Mus musculus: one gene and its partners. The main gene of each other region encodes a partner of the protein of the gene in region 2 in a complex. Links are inferred from orthologs where the notes say so. Each region holds a gene or a part of one and is shown on either strand. Other genes may lie near its edges. The genes, in order: Tgfb3, Tgfbr1, Gdf11 and Tgfb1.

Region 1 (2,900 bases), on a different chromosome or scaffold from region 2:
AGCGCGCGCGCACCTCCCCATGAAAACACACATGGAGGCTAGAGGTGCCTCCTTCTCCCTCTTATTTCTTGAGACAGGCTCTCTCATTGGACCTGGAACTTGTGACGTGAGCTAGACTGACTGGCCAGAGAGCCTCCAGGATTCACCCGTCTCCTCCACTTCCCCCCTCTCCAGGACTGAGATACCACATGGCACTACTGTGCCTCCATTTCATATGGGTGCCAGGGAGCTAAACTCACAGACACTTACCCACTGAACCATCTCTCCCCAGCCACAAGATCCGTATAAATGTTCACACATCTAAGCCATTGCCTCCGTGTTTGAGAATTCTGCACCCTGCAGGAGGGAAGTGTGCCCGGGAAGTGGTGCAGTTTTCTCAGTGAGCCAGCTCAGTCTACTCATCCCAAACAACGATGGAGAGAGGCTCTGCCTGAATTCCAGTTATCTCTGGTGAGTAGATGCCAGTGTGCAGTGAAAGGAATATCTCTGGAGTCCAAACATACACCTTAAAGTGAGGTCTTTACTGTTTTAGAAGAACCTTCCAGGAGATGAAGTCATCCATGATTCCCCAAAAATATTTATTTATACAAAGATTCTGAGAGTAATATTTGTATTTGTCTTTATACTTCAGTCTGTGCATCTGGGGCCGAGTCATCATGTCAGACATGGGAGGCTCCCCGGATACTTGGCATGTAGCACCTGCTTCCAGGAACACCTGGGGAGCAACGGGGTCTAGGGTAGGAGGGAAATGGCGCCCCAGGCTATGTGGACTCTGAATCCGGAGAATACACCCTGACCCGGAAGGTGTCTAGCCAAATATCCAAGGGGAAATGCGGCCAAGAAGGAAGGCAGGAGGAGGGGCCCCCAGGGAATACATGAGAGAACCAATTCTGACCTCTGCTTTTGAGTCCAGCATCTCTAAGGGACCTGAGATAGCTAGTTGCTGGCCCAGAAACTAATTACATGATCTGTGATGACTCATGATGCTGATCGAGGTGAAAAGACAGTTGCAGAAAGAACGGATTGTCCTTAATTCCAGGCAGTGCAAGATATGATTCCAGGGGACTTTGGCTTGGTAAACTGAAGAAAAATGCTTGGCCGCCTCTAACGATATCCCAATTCCCTAGAGCAGATGTACTGCAGTGAGCAAAGCTGACCTCAGACCTGAAATGCCTTCCAGTCTGGCCTTCACCTGACTGACCACTCTACCCTTCATCTTTTGTAGGGTAGCCCGAGGCCCATTGCCACTCACAATGTCCACTCGCTATCCGTTCTCTACCCCACCACCTCTGCCTGCACCACAGAAATTCCATGTTCTCAACAGTGTGCCTTCCCCTAACCAACCCACACTTTCTTTACCACAGTGATTCTCAAAGCTAGCAGAAAGAAATGTTCCAGAAGGAAGCCTCCCTCTCGGCCTTTCGCCGGGAGCCAGGGCTTCTGGGCTCCAGGCCTCTAGGGTGAGGTCTGTCGCTTTGGTTTTCCAAGGAGCAGCAGTCTGTGGTGGCAGTTTTCCCTCCTCTGTGGCAGGCTGGCCTCAGCTGCACTTACACGACTTCACCACCATGTTGGACAGCTGCTCCACCTTGGGGGTTCTGCCCACATAGTACAAGATGGTCAGGGGCTCCAGGTCCTGGGGGACGCAGCATGGCGAGGCAGACGCCTCTGGGTTCAGGGTGTTGTATAGTCCAAGCACCTGTGGGGTGGAGCCACACATTTAGCAGGAAAAAGCCAAGCCTTGAGCCTGTGACCCAGAAACCATGCAAGTTGTGGGGGCTACCCTAAGCAGGCAGAGTGGCCATGGAGATCTGCTTAAAAGGGATTGTGGGAACTGTTTGAATAAGAGACGAGCTGCAGTCATCCAGTATGGCAGAAGGCATAACCCATGGACTGCATTATGTTCCTAACTGAAGCACCCGAAGGAGCAGTTGATAAGAAACTCCTCCAAAAGGTCTTCCTGTCTGTAAGTTTCCACATTGGTGGGTAATGTGCACACTCAGCACTGCTTTGGCACATTTAGTAGTTGTAAGAATGTGTGTGCCCCAGACGGGATGTAGCAGTGATGTGCTGCCTGGAACTGGCTCACAGCCTACCGCCCTACTCAGTATTCCCCACCCCCCGAACCCCAGGAAGGTAGGTTGCTGAGGCTGCGGACCCTCCGCCCTTTCTATCGCTATTCCTTTCCTACATGCGTCATTCTGTCTTAACGGAGGTAGAAACTTCTCTGGGCCCCACATCTTACCAACCAGGTGCATACATCTGTGACACAGAGTGACATGCGACAGCTGAATAACTTTCATAGTACAGAAGCTTTAGACAAATAAAAAGGATGCTTGAAACTATGGTGGGAACTCTGCATGTGTGTGCACATGGCTGTGTGCATGTTCAGGTAAGTGTGTTTGCTAGAGACTGAATCCAGAGCATGGCACACACTAAGCATACGTTTTACCCATGTGCTAGTCCCCGTGGTAGGGATTTAAATTGCAGAGTGCAGCTGAGTAGCAGTGGACCAGCCTGCCAAGATCAGAACGTTGTTACAGGGATTTTCTCATCCAAGATTACCATTCATTCAACATTCAATCCTTCATTCACTCACACTGGCAAGTAGTCCGGCCAGGGGAGCCCCAGTATCCAAAGAGCATGCGCCTAGCTCATACCGTGCTATGGGTTGTGTCTGCGCTGCGGAGGTATGGGCAAGGGCCTGAGCAGAAGTTGGCATAGTAACCCTTAGGTTCGTGGACCCATTTCCAGCCTAGATCCTGCCGGAAGTCAATATAAAGGGGGCGTACACAGCAGTTCTCCTCCAGGTTGCTATGAAGAAAACATATATAGGAAATCAACAAAAAGGGAGCATGATGATAAAAGAAGTCTCATATGTGTCTTCCTGTCTCCCATTAAGA
Region 2 (4,203 bases):
GTCCCCAATGGAGGAGTTAGAGAAAGGACTGAAGGAGCTGAAGGGGTTTGCAACCTTATAAGAAGAACAACAATATCAACCAACCTGACCTCCCCCCCTCCACCCCCAGAGCTCCCAGGGACTAAACCACCAACCAAAGAGTACACATGGAGGGACCCATGGCTCCAGCTGCATATGTAGCAGAGGATGGCCTTGTCAGGCATCAATGGGAGGAGAGGCTCGTGGTCCTCTGAAGGCTCGATGCCCCAGTGTAGGGGAATGTTAGGGTGGTGAGGCGGGAGTGACTGGGTGGGTGAACATCCTCATAGAAGCAGGGGGAGGGAGTATGGGATAGGAGACTTCGGGGCTGGGAAGGGAACTGGGAAAGGAGATAACATTTTAAATGTAAATAAAGAAAATATCAAATAAAAATGCAAGTTATAAGCTTAAAGACAAACAAACAAAAACAAAGAGGAAATATGAACTGACCAAAGTCATAGAGCATGTGTTAGAGTCTAAACCTATTGATTGCTAGCCACACATCAAATTCCAAAATTGTTTTTCTTATAATTTACTTATGTATTTTATACATATAGGTATTTTGTCTATATGCATTATCTACACATCAGAAGAGGGCATTGGTTCCAGAGATTAGTTAAAGACAGTGAGAGCCAACATGTGAGTATTTTGATTTGAACTCAGGACCTCTGGAAGAACAGCAGTGCTCTTAAGCACTGTGCCATCTCTCCAGCCCTAAAGTCCAAAACTGTAAAGGAGGCACACTTCTCTTAGTCTTCTTCCAAACCACAGACAAGGGAAAAAAAGGTATTTTCTCTTTGGTCTAAAAGCAAAATACTATTATGCTAAAATCTATTTCAGCATGATCCTGACAATCAGCCAGTCTACTTCTGAGTCCACAAAAATCAACAAACAAAGCCAAGAAAAACAAACATTCATTCACAGGACTACTATTTTTGTTTCTTTGTTTGAAATTTTCTTTTAAATGTAAAAAGTTACTAAAGATGCAATAGTTTAATTTTAAACAATAAACGAGACTGGTCTGATCATCTGCCACCAAGCCTGCTAACACGAGTTTGTTTCCCAGGATCCATACAGAGGAGAGAGAGAACTGACTCCTTCAAGTTGTCCTCTGACTTCCACATGGATACTGTGGTTGGCAGGCATGTGTGTGCAAACACACACACACACACACACACACACACACACACACACACTTTTTATTAAAACAACAATTTTGTATCATGTTAAAGAGGCTAATCAGCTTCCAAATTCCAGAACAGTCTCAGAGCTGCAGAATGGCAGATGCATCTTTTAGCTGCAGCTCTATCTTTGTAAGAATGGTGTCCAACTTTCTACCTCCCAGGCTCAAGTTATATAGGGGAGGATGTGTGGAAGCCTATACATCTGTGACTTGTTTCAATGGTAAAACCAAGTTCCAATTTATCTATATTAAACTATCCAGTCAGACAGCAAGCTCAACAGTTTTCAATAGGCTGCAATCCTGTATAGTACTCATACTATTCCAAAGTTTTAACAAATTAAGCCAAATGCCCCAACCAACTAATTAAATAAAATAGGAAAAATGAGTTAAGACTTAAGAAAAAGGTAAACAATAACATTACCTGATCCAGACCCTGATGTTGTCATATCATAAATTAAATCTTTTAAGGTGGTGCCCTCTGAAATGAAAGGGCGATCTAGTGATGGATCCTCTTCATTTGGCACACGGTGGTGAATGACAGTGCGGTTATGGCAGATATAGACCATCAGCATAAGTGCAATGCAGACGAAGCAGACTGGACCAGCAATGACAGCTGCCAGCTCCACAGGACCAAGGCCAGCTGACTGCTTTTCTGAAAAAGGTCCTCCAATGAAATAAACATCAAGAGAAACAAAACACTGTAGGTGGCACTCACAGTTCCCAAACCCTCCATATCCCTCCACCCCCACCCCCGTGTCCACTACTATCATTTAGTCACACAGGGCTTCCCTCCCTGGTCTCCTTTGTCAGACCATCAGCTGTCAGTACCCTCTCACTCTTCCTGAGTATCCCCAGCCTATCTTATAGTTCACCATTGGGTTCATTAGCTAAGCCCCTTCTAGACCTCCTTCCCCACTTGTCACCTCAGGTAAACAAGAAAAGTAAACAATTATTTGAAACAACTTCTAATAACTCATTTTTTTATAAAGCACTTTGGTCTTTTCTTCTTATTCCAAGTTTACTGCAGGATTATAGCAGAAGAAATATATATAAATATAGTTAATAAAGTTTTTACAAATTATCAACTTCCTTGCAAAGCTTCAGACTCATATTTTATTATATACTTTTCCACCAACTATTTTTTTTAAGATTTATTTATTCATTATATGTAAGTACACTGTAGCTGTCTTCAGACACACCAGAAGAGGGCGTCAGATCTCGTTACGGATGGTTGTGAGCCACCATGTGGTTGCTGGGACTTGAACACTGGACCTTTGGAAGAGCAGTCGGGTACTCTTACCCACTGAGCCATCACACCAGCCCTTCCACCAACTTTTTAAAGCCTAAGACTTCCTTTGTTTACTTTTGTTTTTTATTCTATTTGCTTATTTATAAATTTTTAACTCTTTCCCTCAATTTTTTGTGAGACGGGGTTTTATCACCATAGTTCATCCAGGCTGGTCTCAAATTTGGGATTCTTCAACCTCTGCATTCCAGCACTGGATATTAATACATTGTGTATGCACATCCTTTCTAGACTATTTTGCCAACTGTATTTTTTTATTAGGTACTTTACGTACATTTCAAATGTTATCCCCTTTCCTACTTTCCTCTCTGAAAATCCCCTATCCTCTCCCTCCTCCCCCTGCTTCCCAACCCACCCACTCCCACTTCCTGGCCCTGGCATTCCCCTATACTGGGGCATAGAACCTTCACAGGACCAAGGGCCTCTCCTCCCACTGATGACTGACTAGGCCGTTCTCTGCTACATATGCAGCTAAAGCCATGAGTCCCACCATGTATTTTCTTTGATTGGTGGTTTAGTCCCAGGGAGATCTAGGAGTACTGGTTAATTCATATTGTTGTTCCTCCTATGGGGCTGAAAACCTCTTCAGCTCCTTGGGAACTTTCTCTAGCTCCTTCATTGGGGACCCTGTGCTCCGTCCAACAGATGACTGTGAGCATCCACTTCTGTATTAGTCAGGCACTGGCAGAGCCTCTCAAGAGATGCTATAACAGGTTCCTGTCAGCAAGCTCTTGCTGGCATCTGCAATAGTATCTGGGTTTGGTGGTTGTTTATGGGATGGATCCCCAGGTGGGGCAGTTTCTAGATGGTCATTCCTTCAGTCTCTGCTCTGAACTTTGTCTCTGTAACTCCTTCCATGGGAATTTTGTTCCCCCGAAGGATTGAAGTATCCACACTTTGGTCTTCCTTCTTTTTGAGTTTCATGTGTTTTGCAAATTGTATATTGGGTATTCTGAGCTTCTGGGCTAATATCCACTTATCAGTGAGTGCATATCATGTGTGTTCTTTTGTGATTGGGTTACCTCACTTAGGATGATATCCTCCAGACACATCCATCTGACTAAGAATTTCATGAATTGTTTTTAATAGCTGAGTACTAAGTATTCCATTGTGTAAATGTACCACATTTTCTGTATCCATTCCTCTGCTGAGGGGCATCTGGGTTCTTTCCAGCTTCTTGCTATTATAAATAAGGCTGCTATGAACATAGTGGAGCATGTGTCCTTATTACAAGATGGAGCATCTTCTGCGTACATGCCCAGGAGTGGTATTGTTGGATCTTCTGGAAGTACTATGTCCAATTTTCCGAGGAACCACCAAAATGATTTCCAGCGTAGTTGTACCAGCTTGCAATCCTACTAGCAATGGAGGAGTATTCCTCTTTTTCCACATCCTCACCAGCATCTGCTGTCACCTGAGTTTTTGATCTTAGCCATTCTGACTGGTGTGAGGTGGAATCTCAGGGTTGTTTTGATTTGCATTTCCCTGATGACTAAGGATGTTGAACATTTTTTTAGGTGCTTCTCAACCATTTGGTATTCCTCAGTTGAGAATTCTTTGTTTAGTTCTGTACCCTATTTTTTAATAGGGTTATTTGGTTTTCTGGAGTCCAACTTCTTGAGTTCTTTATATATATATGTATATATATATATATATATATATATATATATACATATATATATATATATATATATAT
Region 3 (4,916 bases), on a different chromosome or scaffold from region 2:
AAGATGTAAGGAAAGGAAGAGGTTGAAGATGATAAGATAAGAATGAAGAGACAGAATGAAGACAGGTTAGACCAAGACCAGCAGAGGAACGGAACAAGTAGATCACAGTAATGGGAGCAAATGTTTGGGAAATGGAAACACTGGGTAGACTGGACTGGAGTGGGTAAGGTAAGAGGGCAAAGGTGGGACCCTCGTGGGGTAAAGAAGAGATGGAAAGGTGCAGAAGAAGGAACAAAGAAGCAGGTAAAGCTATGGAGCTCTGGTGGGGAGGGGAAGGGGCCACATCTGTGTTGGATTGATTTGGTTGGTGGCAGGCAGCAGGTCAGGTTTAGGAGGCGGTGCTGGTGGGGGAGAGAGGTCACTGCACTATTTTCAGCAAAGGCCCAACCCCCTCTCTGCCTACAGCCTCCACCCCACCACACACCCTCTCCCAACTCAGGCTGGATGGCCCAGGGGCAGGAGGTTGGGCGAGAGGGCAGGGGCCTCTTAGCGTGCACAGGAGAGACAAACTGAGGGGCAGGGCTTGGCTCCTAGAAGAGCAGGGGGCTGGGTTCCCAGGGATGAAGGCTGGGGTGGGAGAGTGAGAGGGTAGAGGGAACTAGGGCAGGCCGAACAGCCTAGGAAAGGTGGGGGCTGGGGTCCGGGGTTGGCTGGGGGAGGGGAGGCAGGGGGAGGGGAGCAGAGGCCATCTCTGCTGACAAACACCTCCCCCGATTAGCAGAGCACAAGTCTCTTATTAAAGCGGGTCCCTGGGGATTAGACTATAAAAGTCTCTTTTTCCTTTTCCCCCCTCTCCTCTCTCCCTCCCCTCCCCTCTACTCCCCCTCCCTCTCTTAAGGTCGCAGCTAGACTCTTAAAGGGGAAGTACAATACCTGGTTTGAAACCCAGTTCCTGGGTTACCTAAGTCCTGGAGTGGCACTAAAATGGAAGTCAGGGTGAGACCCAACTTCATCTACTGGTACAATCCCACCCCCAGGCTTAATGGCTACTGCCCAATTTGTGCATTCAGAGTCCCTTCACTTCCTGCTGCTCTCCACTACCAGAGTTAATTCTGGACTCAAGCCTTCTGGTTACAGGAGGCTAGGGATAGTGAAGGCAATGGGAAGCCTGCAGCTGGGTCACTCACCCTGGAAATACACACTTTACATCACACAGAGCAGAGTATCTTTTCTCTATATATCCTGCATCTTCCAGAAAATTTTGTCATTCATTATTTCCCTACAACTGTTTTCTAGAATCTTTTCCCTATCCCTGCCCTTAGTCAATCAAAGACTGACCCTGGTTTCCAAAAGTAGAAGCAATAAGAACAAGGGAGCCTGAGAACCCAAGATCAGATCTCTGTGCACACACACACACACACACACACACACACACACTCACACACATACACATACACATACACACGAGAGAGAGAGAGAGAGAGAGAGAGAGAGAGAGAGAGAGAGAGAGAGAGAGAGAGAGAGAGAGAGAGTTTCCTGACTCTGAGTTTTCTTTACAATCCTAACCAAGTTGGAGTTGAATTCTGCAGAAACTGGGTGGCAAGTGCCAGGCTCTCAACCTTCCAAATGCACACCTGGGTTCCTGTACCTCTACCATGGGGGTGGGCCACTAGGATTTCCCGCAACCCCCAGCTTTTTATGACCCATCTGCCAATAAACCAGCCCCCCCTTCTGTTCAGAGCCATAAAACCAAAGGAGGGGGGGCTTGCCAAACCACTAGGGAATAGAGAAAGCCTGGTTCCCTGGAGTTGGGGGGGGGGGGGACTACAGTCAGTGGGGGAGGGGAAAGGGAGTCACCTGACCCTAGGGAGAGAAGGCAGTGGGGGCGGTAGTATTGGCCTGGATTTTCCAGGCCATAAAATTTCAAAGCCGCTCCTGTCTATCAGAGTGTTCATCCTCCGTTTGGCCAGGGGCTCGGATGCCTGGGTTCTCCCATCCCCCTCATCTAGTTCTTTCTCCCTGGGTCTTCTTTGGCTCCAGCTGTGGGTAGGACAGGGAGTGAGCACGCTAAGATGAGAGTAACCAAATGATACTCGTTAAGTGGCAAGCGCAGTGGAGTTGAGTTATTTGAGCTCTTTCGGTACCAGGAAGGAACAGCTCTTCTAGGTCCTAGGGGATACCCAGTGCGAGATCAGGTGCAGAAAGGAGAGGTGTCAGCTGAGTTGCTGAGACGTACACCGGGTTTGGGTCCTATGCCATGGCCTTAGAGGAACACTTAGTTTTTCCGAAAGCCGGTGGGCGCCTTCCGGAGCACCGGGCAAGGAGTTGATGCTGGTGCCAGAGCAGTGGGAAGATGGCACTGCGGCCCAGCTGAGACTGCACGGGTCACGGAAGCTCCCCACCTAACGCTCCAGAAAAGTCACTGTAGGGTGCCAGTTTCTAGGACTACTTCAACTTGAATCTTTTTCTCACAAGGGATGGAAAGCAATAGCTCACAACCTGCCTGGTTTGGCCCCCCTCCCCCAACGCGCCATCCTCCACCCCCCCACCCTAGAACGGGGCGTGCACTCAACTCCGCTGCCCATCTTCTCCGCTCAAAAAGTTGTGTGGAGTGGCCCGGCTCCCCAATCCGTCAAGTTTTCGCAGAAAGGGCTTCCGGGTCCTTCCCGGACTGCACCGCACCGCGCGCACCCCGCAGCCCACTTACTCTCCTGGGCCATGCTTATGACCGTCTCGGTGGTAGCGTGGTACTCGTCCTCTTCCAAGAAGTCCTCAGGCTGCAGCGCGTCGCCTTGGAAGTCGTGCAGATCCAGGATCTGCTGCAGCGGCGGCGCCTTGGGCAGCAGCTGCTTCACTACCTCCCGGCTGATGTTGGGCGCCTCCTTGAGCCGCAGTTTGCTCAGGATCTGCGACTTGATGCTCTCTAGGCGCAGCTCGCGGCTGTGCTGCCGCCACACGCACACGGGGCAGCCGTCCGGCTCCGGCGGAGCGGACGGGGCCGGCCGGCTCGAGCGCTCCCCCCCGACCCCGGCCGCCGCCGCCGCTGCCGCCGCCGCCGCCGCGGGGCCCTCGGCCGCCTCCCCCCGGGGCCGCAGCTCCAGGGCGAGGAGCAGGAAGCCCAGCAGCAGCGGGGCCGCGAGCACCATGCTGCAGGGGAGGGGAGGACTGGGGGGCGGGGACGCCGGAGTCCCGCGGGGAGGGGGCGGAGGGAAGAGGGAGGAGGAGGGGGTCCGGGCGGCGCGGGATTGGGGGCTGCCCGGCCGAGGGGGGGCCGGGGGCCGGGGGCGGCGGGCGCACGGGCGGGGCGGGCGGGCGGCCGGGGCGGGCAGCTGGGGGGGCCCAAGCCCGGGCCGGGCCCTTTATAGCCCCGGCCCCCGTGTCGTCAGCGGCCGCGATTGGCTGCGGAGCCAACAAAAGAGGTAGCGCTGTCATCCGAGGCGAGAGAGGGAGCCGGAGAGAACCGAGGAAAAGAGAGAGAGAGAGAGAGAGAGAGAGAGAGAGAGAGAGAGAGAGAACACGAGCGAGCACGGGTCCAGAGAAAGATGAAGAGACCGAAAGATGAGGGGGAGGGGGGGAGAGGCCGTGAGGGACCGAGTCAGAGAGATCGGGGACAGACGGAGCGGTGGGTAGGGGTTGGGGGTGGGGGAAGAGGCAGATCCAAAGATACCCAGATAGGAAGGGAAGAGGGAGAGACAAAAGAGAGAAAAGAAGTCACAGAAGGGAGAGACTTAGCTAGAGAGCAAGAGCGAAGACTGAAGACGACCAGAAAAACTAGTGGGACAGTTAAGAGTGGAGAGAGTCAAAGACAAAGGTAGAGCGCAAAGAGGGGTGGCTAACCGAATTCTACGGAGTCGAACAGGAGAGAGCAGGAGAGGTGGGCAAGAGAACGGATGGGTCAGAGGGAGCTGATGGTACCCTGCGCAAGAGGGAGAGGCAGAGACAGGGGATACCTTGGAGGTAGCAACCCCTGAGGAGGCAGGTGCAGAGAAAAGACCAGGGGAGGAAGTAACACACACAAGTCAGCCTTGGTTGGAGCGCAAAGAGACACCCAAGGGGAAGAGGTGGAGATGTGAAGAATAGCCTCAGCTACCAGAGGTAGCCCAGGATGTTTAAAGAACCCATAAAATGGAACATCAGGCTGATTTATCACAGGGATGAAGGCGGTCAGGAGAGGAAGAGGCCAGGGACAAGCTGAGAAGTTGACAAGTACTGAGCCCGGAAGAAAACTATCTAGGAGGCCTGTGATCTTGAGATTGAGGTTTAATAGAACAAAGAGAGTGATCGTGATCGGGCTGGAAAGGGTGGGAGCCATGAGGGGAAGAGCCAGATGAGGGATGAGGTAGGGCTTGAAAGTGGTGCTTGGCGAGGAATCTGGACCCTCTCTCTGGGTTCCTAGCTACGTCTTTGTGTTTGTAAGGTCTTACATGTCTGAGAAAGCTTGAAGTTTTAGGCGTAAGGGTAAGAGCAGGGTCTATACTCAGATGTCTAATGTGGAGATAGCAAACCCCAAGGGGAGCCACTCTGGAATGGGACCAGCCATGGTCTTCAGGTGTGGTCCTAAGCGCAGCCAGACAGCTCAGTACACGAGGAAGACAGTGTACAGGTGTGCTCAGCCACTACTGCTGGTTCCCTCTTCCCAGGTCTCTGTTTCTCTTTTTCCCCCTCTTCCCCTCCCCTAAACCCTTTCTTCTCCTTTTCCTCTATCCTCTGAGACAGAGTCTCAGATGCATCCCAGGCTGGCCTCAAACTCAGTTATCCTCCTGCCTCAGCCTCCAGAGAGCTCTCTGTATAAGCATGCCTTGACCCATGTCTCTGAAGATCCCTTGGCAAACTGAAAATGTTAGGGGGTTGAGATTTGCTCTTCCAGTGTCTCGCGCAGTGTTCACTGAACAAAATGTATAAATGTCAGTAGGAAGGCCCTGTCTCAAAAAAATATATAGATAAATGTAAAATGTATAGACCTCACTATTGGGATT
Region 4 (4,203 bases), on a different chromosome or scaffold from region 2:
CCTTTTCAGAAACGTTAGGGACCAGAAACATTCTAGACTGTATAGCTTTTTGGGGTAAGGGGATATTTACATAGACTTTACATATTTATTTTATTTTTATTACTATTCATATTTCTTGAGACAGGATCTATGTATTTGCCTGAAATTTGTTTGTCACTGGCCTCAAACTCAGAGATCTGCCTGCCTCTGCTTCCTGAATGCTGGGATCAGAGACATGCACCACACCTGTCAACTTGAAAGAAAGAAAGAAAGAGAGAAAGAAAGAAAGAAAGAAAGAAAGAAAGAAAGGGAGAGAGAGAGAGAGAGAGAGAGAGAGCGAGCCGGGCGTGGTGGCACACGCCTTTAATCCCAGCACTCGGTCGGCAGAGGCAGGTGAATTTCTGAGTTCGAGGCCAGCCTGGTCTACAGAGTGAGTTCCAGGACAGCCAGGGCTATACAAAGAAACCCTGTCTCGGAAAAAAAAAAAAAAAAAGTTTTATGTGTAGGAGTATTTCTCTGAACATGTGTGTACACACACCACATACGTGCAGAGCCCATGGGGGCCAGGAGGAGGCGTTAGATTCCCTGGAACGGGACTATGGATTGCTGGGAGCAGCCATGTAGGTTGCTGGGAAATGAATCTGCGTGCTCTGAAAGAGCAGCTGTGCTCCTCATCCTTCCAGATGCCCCACCCCCTTTCTCGAGGCAGGGTCTGATTGGTTGCCACAAACACACGACGTACCTATCAATGACTTTGACCTCCTGCGGTTCCCGTTCCTACTCCAGCGCTAGGATTACAGCCTTGCTCACCATGGCCAGCGAGATTTTGGACTTCTGAATTATGGATTCTTAACTAATTCGCATCTCCACAACTGTAAATGACAACAGTTGCTGACTCGTGGCCAATTTCATTCCACCTACTTTCTTTCCGCCACTGTAGTTTTTTCATTTGTTTAATGAACTTTTGTAGAAAAGTTCACTTTCTCTTAGAAAGTGAGGAATATTTTACAATTTAAACATGAATCAAAAGTATAAATCAATATAAAATATAAATCAGTGGTAGAGCCCCTGCCTAGAATCCCCCAGTGAGGGGCTGGGGGCGTGGCTTGGTGGTAGAGCCCCTGCCTAGAATCCCCCAGTGAGGGGCTGGGGGCGTGGCTTGGTGGTAGAGCCCCTGCCTAGAATCCCCCAGTGAGGGGCTGGGGGCGTGGCTCAGTGGTAGAGTGCTTCTTTACTATGTACAAGGTACTGGGTTTTCTCAGTATCACAAATGCAGCAGCAGCAACAACAAAATCCTAGGGAGGGTTGGTTTTTTTGTTTTGTTTTGTTTTGTTTTTTTTTTTAATGTATATTGGTGTTTTACCTGCACTTATGCATGTGTGAGGGCATCAAATCCTCTAGAGCTAGAATTATAGACAGGTGTGATCCTTATTATGGGTGGTGGGAACTGAACGCAAGTCCTCTGGAAAAGCAGCCAGTGCTTTTAACCACTGAGCCATCTCTCCAGCCCCCTTCCCCAGGCAAAAATTTAACATTAAATCACTAAAATCAAATACTACTCAAGGTTCATGTTTCCCACTGTGTCCCATAAACATCTTTTTCCCTTTCCTTTTCTTTCCTCCTCCTCCAACCTCTCAGCCCTCTCTTCCTCTCTCTTCTAGTAGTGTGGACTATATATCCTCCCCTCCCTTCTTTGCACTGTATCTGTTGAAGAAATGACTAGGTTTCCCACCATCTGCACTTTGCTGGGTGCGTCCCTGTGGTGCTGGCTAATGTTGTTAGTCTGTCCCTCTGTTGCAGTTCCCTGCAACATGGGAGTTGGAGCTACAGTTCCCATCAGATCATGGTTGATGTGTCTGATAGGCCTTGCTCGATGGCATGGTGTTCTTCCATGCAAAATTTTGCTTGTCACAGCCGGGGACTTGGCTCAGGGAATTAAGTGCTCGCTGTGCAAGCATGAAGACCTGGTTTCGGATTCCCAGAGCCCACATATACATCAGGCATAGGCAAAACAAATATAAGAGAGAGACAGGCAGACAGACACAGTCAGTCAGTCAGACAGACAGACAAAGAGATTTTCATGATTCCCTGAGTTTGTTTCCCAGTATGTGAGGAACAGAGTTTACATAGCTTCCTGCATCTCTTAGTAACCTGCAGTATGAAGACCGGACATCTGATCCTATGTGAAGGCTGACAACCAAAGGTGAAGACAAGGAGGAGGAGGAGAAGGAGGAGGAGGAGGAGGAGGAGGAGGAGGAGGAGGCCGGCCAGCCAAGGACCGATATGTAACACAGAACTCTATAAAGTCTGAAGCAGGTAAGGGATAGGTCAGCTCACTGCTCTCATCTCTCAACACCCCTGAATTTCATGCCTTCTAGGATCTAACGTTCCAATTTCTTTCTCTCATCCACAGTACCGAGGCTTAATATGAGTCTACCATTCTGGAACTGGGTGGTTGTGTGACATCTGTAATCCCAGGACAGAGAATTCAAGACAGTCTGGGCTAAAGGAGTGAATCTGAGGCCAGCCTGGATTACACAGCAAAGCCCTGTCTCGAACAAAACCAAACAAAGGAGAACTAACAAGATGGCTCAGCAGGCAAAGGTGCTCGCAGCCAGGCCCAATGACCTGAGTCTTATATCTGGGACTCACATGGTGGAAGGAGAACGGACTCCCAACAGTTGTCCTCTGACCGTCACACAGTTTTGTGGCATGGATGCCCCTACATACACACAGACACACACACACAATGGCCCTACACACACACAGAGATATAACTTAAAAACAATGACCAAAAAGCTTTGGCCCTTGGTACGGGCATTCTGGATACACTAGGACGCCCACTCTCTGACTCTGAGAGATCTTGTCTCCTCAGAGTTCCCTATCTCAGTACTATATTCCAACACTTCACACTTCCAAGCCTACATACATCTCAGAAGTTCTATCTTCTCACCTCCTCAGGGTGCACCACTGCCAGATAAAGCGCTGGCCCTCAGGAAACTCACTTTCTGGCTTTCTCCACCTCCACTCTAGATGCTAACATCTCCCTGCCAGCCCTGCCATTCTGAGACCCAGGATTTGCCGCTCTCATCCACCAGCACTGGAGACCACCATCTGCCAAGAGTGTGGGAACCCAGTGCAGACCACCTTCTGATTCGGAACCCAAATGTTTGGATCCCAGCACTCCAGCTTTCCTGGGGTCAACACGCTCCATGGCTCACAGTAAATTCTTTCATTAGCATCCCAAAGTGGCAGAAGCCTGGCAAGAATTTTAAAACCCAACCAGACAACCTTCCAACAGACTTCCAACTCTTGTTGAATTCCCTGATCCCAGCACTCCAGGAAGAAAACACCCCTCATTCTAGGACTCTCAGCTGCCCACAGAACCAGGAACTTGTCCCCAAGCCCTGCAGGCATACATGGTGGCACACCAGTCCACAGGCTGCAGTCAGCCCGCAGCCTGCACAGCCTCGGAGAGAGACAGTGTTTACCTGAAGCAATAGTTGGTATCCAGGGCTCTCCGGTGCCGTGAGCTGTGCAGGTGCTGGGCCCTTTCCAGGGGGGTGGCCATGAGGAGCAGGAAGGGCCGGTTCATGTCATGGATGGTGCCCAGGTCGCCCCGACGTTTGGGGCTGATCCCTGTTGGGTTTGGATGTTGTGGTGAAGGACATACACACACTTAGAGGGATGGGTGAGATTTCACACACATGCACGTGCACACAGACCATGAGGGGCCTGTGTCAGGATGGACCCGGGAAGTTAGCTCACCGTTGATTTCCACGTGGAGTTTGTTATCTTTGCTGTCACAAGAGCAGTGAGCGCTGAATCGAAAGCCCTGTATTCCGTCTGCGGGAGAGGAAGGGAGTCTGAGGATATGAGGGGGAAGAGGGGACAGGAAACTGCCAGCCTTGGGGGCTCCCGGCTAGTCACCCCACACTTCATTCTTGCTCCTATTCTTTGAATTGCTGGACCCTTCTCCCCTTATTCAGGGCTCAGCTCAAACATCAACCCCTCGGGAAAGGCTCTGAAAGAGACACGTCCTTCTCCAAATGTGGCATCTGTTCCCTTTCTCCACGGCAAGCAGGGGCTCTGACACCTCTGCATGAATATTTACTTCTTTGGTCTCAGTAGAAAAACATAGCTGGGCGGTGGTGGCGCACGCCTTTAATCCCAGCACTTGGGAGGCAAAGGCAGGCGGATTTCTGAGTTTGAGGCCAGCCTGGT

The links.
Region 1: the proteins of Tgfbr1 (region 2) and Tgfb3 are in contact, whole or in part, in a crystal structure (PDB 9B9F), measured with the Homo sapiens proteins. The link is inferred for Mus musculus from reciprocal best matches to the Homo sapiens genes TGFBR1 and TGFB3. Residues at the interface, in NP_004603.1 of Homo sapiens: His39, Leu40, Thr42, Lys43, Phe55, Met70, Ile78, Phe84, Val85, Lys91; in NP_001316868.1 of Homo sapiens: Ala301, Leu302, Asp303, Asn305, Tyr306, Tyr350, Leu351, Ser353, Thr357, Thr360, Leu364, Leu368.
Region 3: the proteins of Tgfbr1 (region 2) and Gdf11 are in contact, whole or in part, in a crystal structure (PDB 6MAC), measured with the Homo sapiens proteins. The link is inferred for Mus musculus from reciprocal best matches to the Homo sapiens genes TGFBR1 and GDF11. Residues at the interface, in NP_004603.1 of Homo sapiens: Ile78, Pro79, Asp81, Arg82, Phe84, Ala87, Pro88, Ser89, Ser90, Lys91; in NP_005802.1 of Homo sapiens: Phe322, Ala324, Phe325, Gly326, Trp327, Trp329, Ile330, Met382, Tyr384, Phe385, Asn386, Asp387, Ile392, Ile396, Pro397, Met399.
Region 4: the proteins of Tgfbr1 (region 2) and Tgfb1 are in contact, whole or in part, in a crystal structure (PDB 3KFD), measured with the Homo sapiens proteins. The link is inferred for Mus musculus from reciprocal best matches to the Homo sapiens genes TGFBR1 and TGFB1. Residues at the interface, in NP_004603.1 of Homo sapiens: His39, Leu40, Thr42, Lys43, Phe55, Asn68, Met70, Ile78, Phe84, Val85; in NP_000651.3 of Homo sapiens: Ala279, Leu280, Asp281, Asn283, Tyr284, Tyr328, Ile329, Trp330, Gln335, Lys338.

What each region holds. Positions count from the first base shown.
Region 1 is NC_000078.6:86,056,243-86,059,142, forward strand, and holds the end of Tgfb3 (transforming growth factor beta-3 proprotein precursor), read right to left. Parts: intron 2,812-2,900; coding exon 2,658-2,811; intron 1,697-2,657; coding exon 1,538-1,696; 3' UTR 501-1,537; downstream 1-500. UniProt on the Homo sapiens protein: Transforming growth factor beta-3 proprotein: Precursor of the Latency-associated peptide (LAP) and Transforming growth factor beta-3 (TGF-beta-3) chains, which constitute the regulatory and active subunit of TGF-beta-3, respectively.
Region 2 is NC_000070.6:47,390,909-47,395,111, reverse strand, and holds part of Tgfbr1 (TGF-beta receptor type-1 isoform 1 precursor), read right to left. Parts: intron 1,866-4,203; coding exon 1,623-1,865; intron 1-1,622. UniProt on the Homo sapiens protein: Transmembrane serine/threonine kinase forming with the TGF-beta type II serine/threonine kinase receptor, TGFBR2, the non-promiscuous receptor for the TGF-beta cytokines TGFB1, TGFB2 and TGFB3.
Region 3 is NC_000076.6:128,888,600-128,893,515, forward strand, and holds the start of Gdf11 (growth/differentiation factor 11 preproprotein), read right to left. Parts: upstream 3,120-4,916; 5' UTR 3,087-3,119; coding exon 2,648-3,086; intron 1-2,647. UniProt on the Homo sapiens protein: Secreted signal that acts globally to regulate anterior/posterior axial patterning during development. May play critical roles in patterning both mesodermal and neural tissues. It is required for proper vertebral patterning and orofacial development.
Region 4 is NC_000073.6:25,696,540-25,700,742, reverse strand, and holds part of Tgfb1 (transforming growth factor beta-1 proprotein preproprotein), read right to left. Parts: intron 3,826-4,203; coding exon 3,748-3,825; intron 3,619-3,747; coding exon 3,471-3,618; intron 1-3,470. UniProt on the Homo sapiens protein: Transforming growth factor beta-1 proprotein: Precursor of the Latency-associated peptide (LAP) and Transforming growth factor beta-1 (TGF-beta-1) chains, which constitute the regulatory and active subunit of TGF-beta-1, respectively.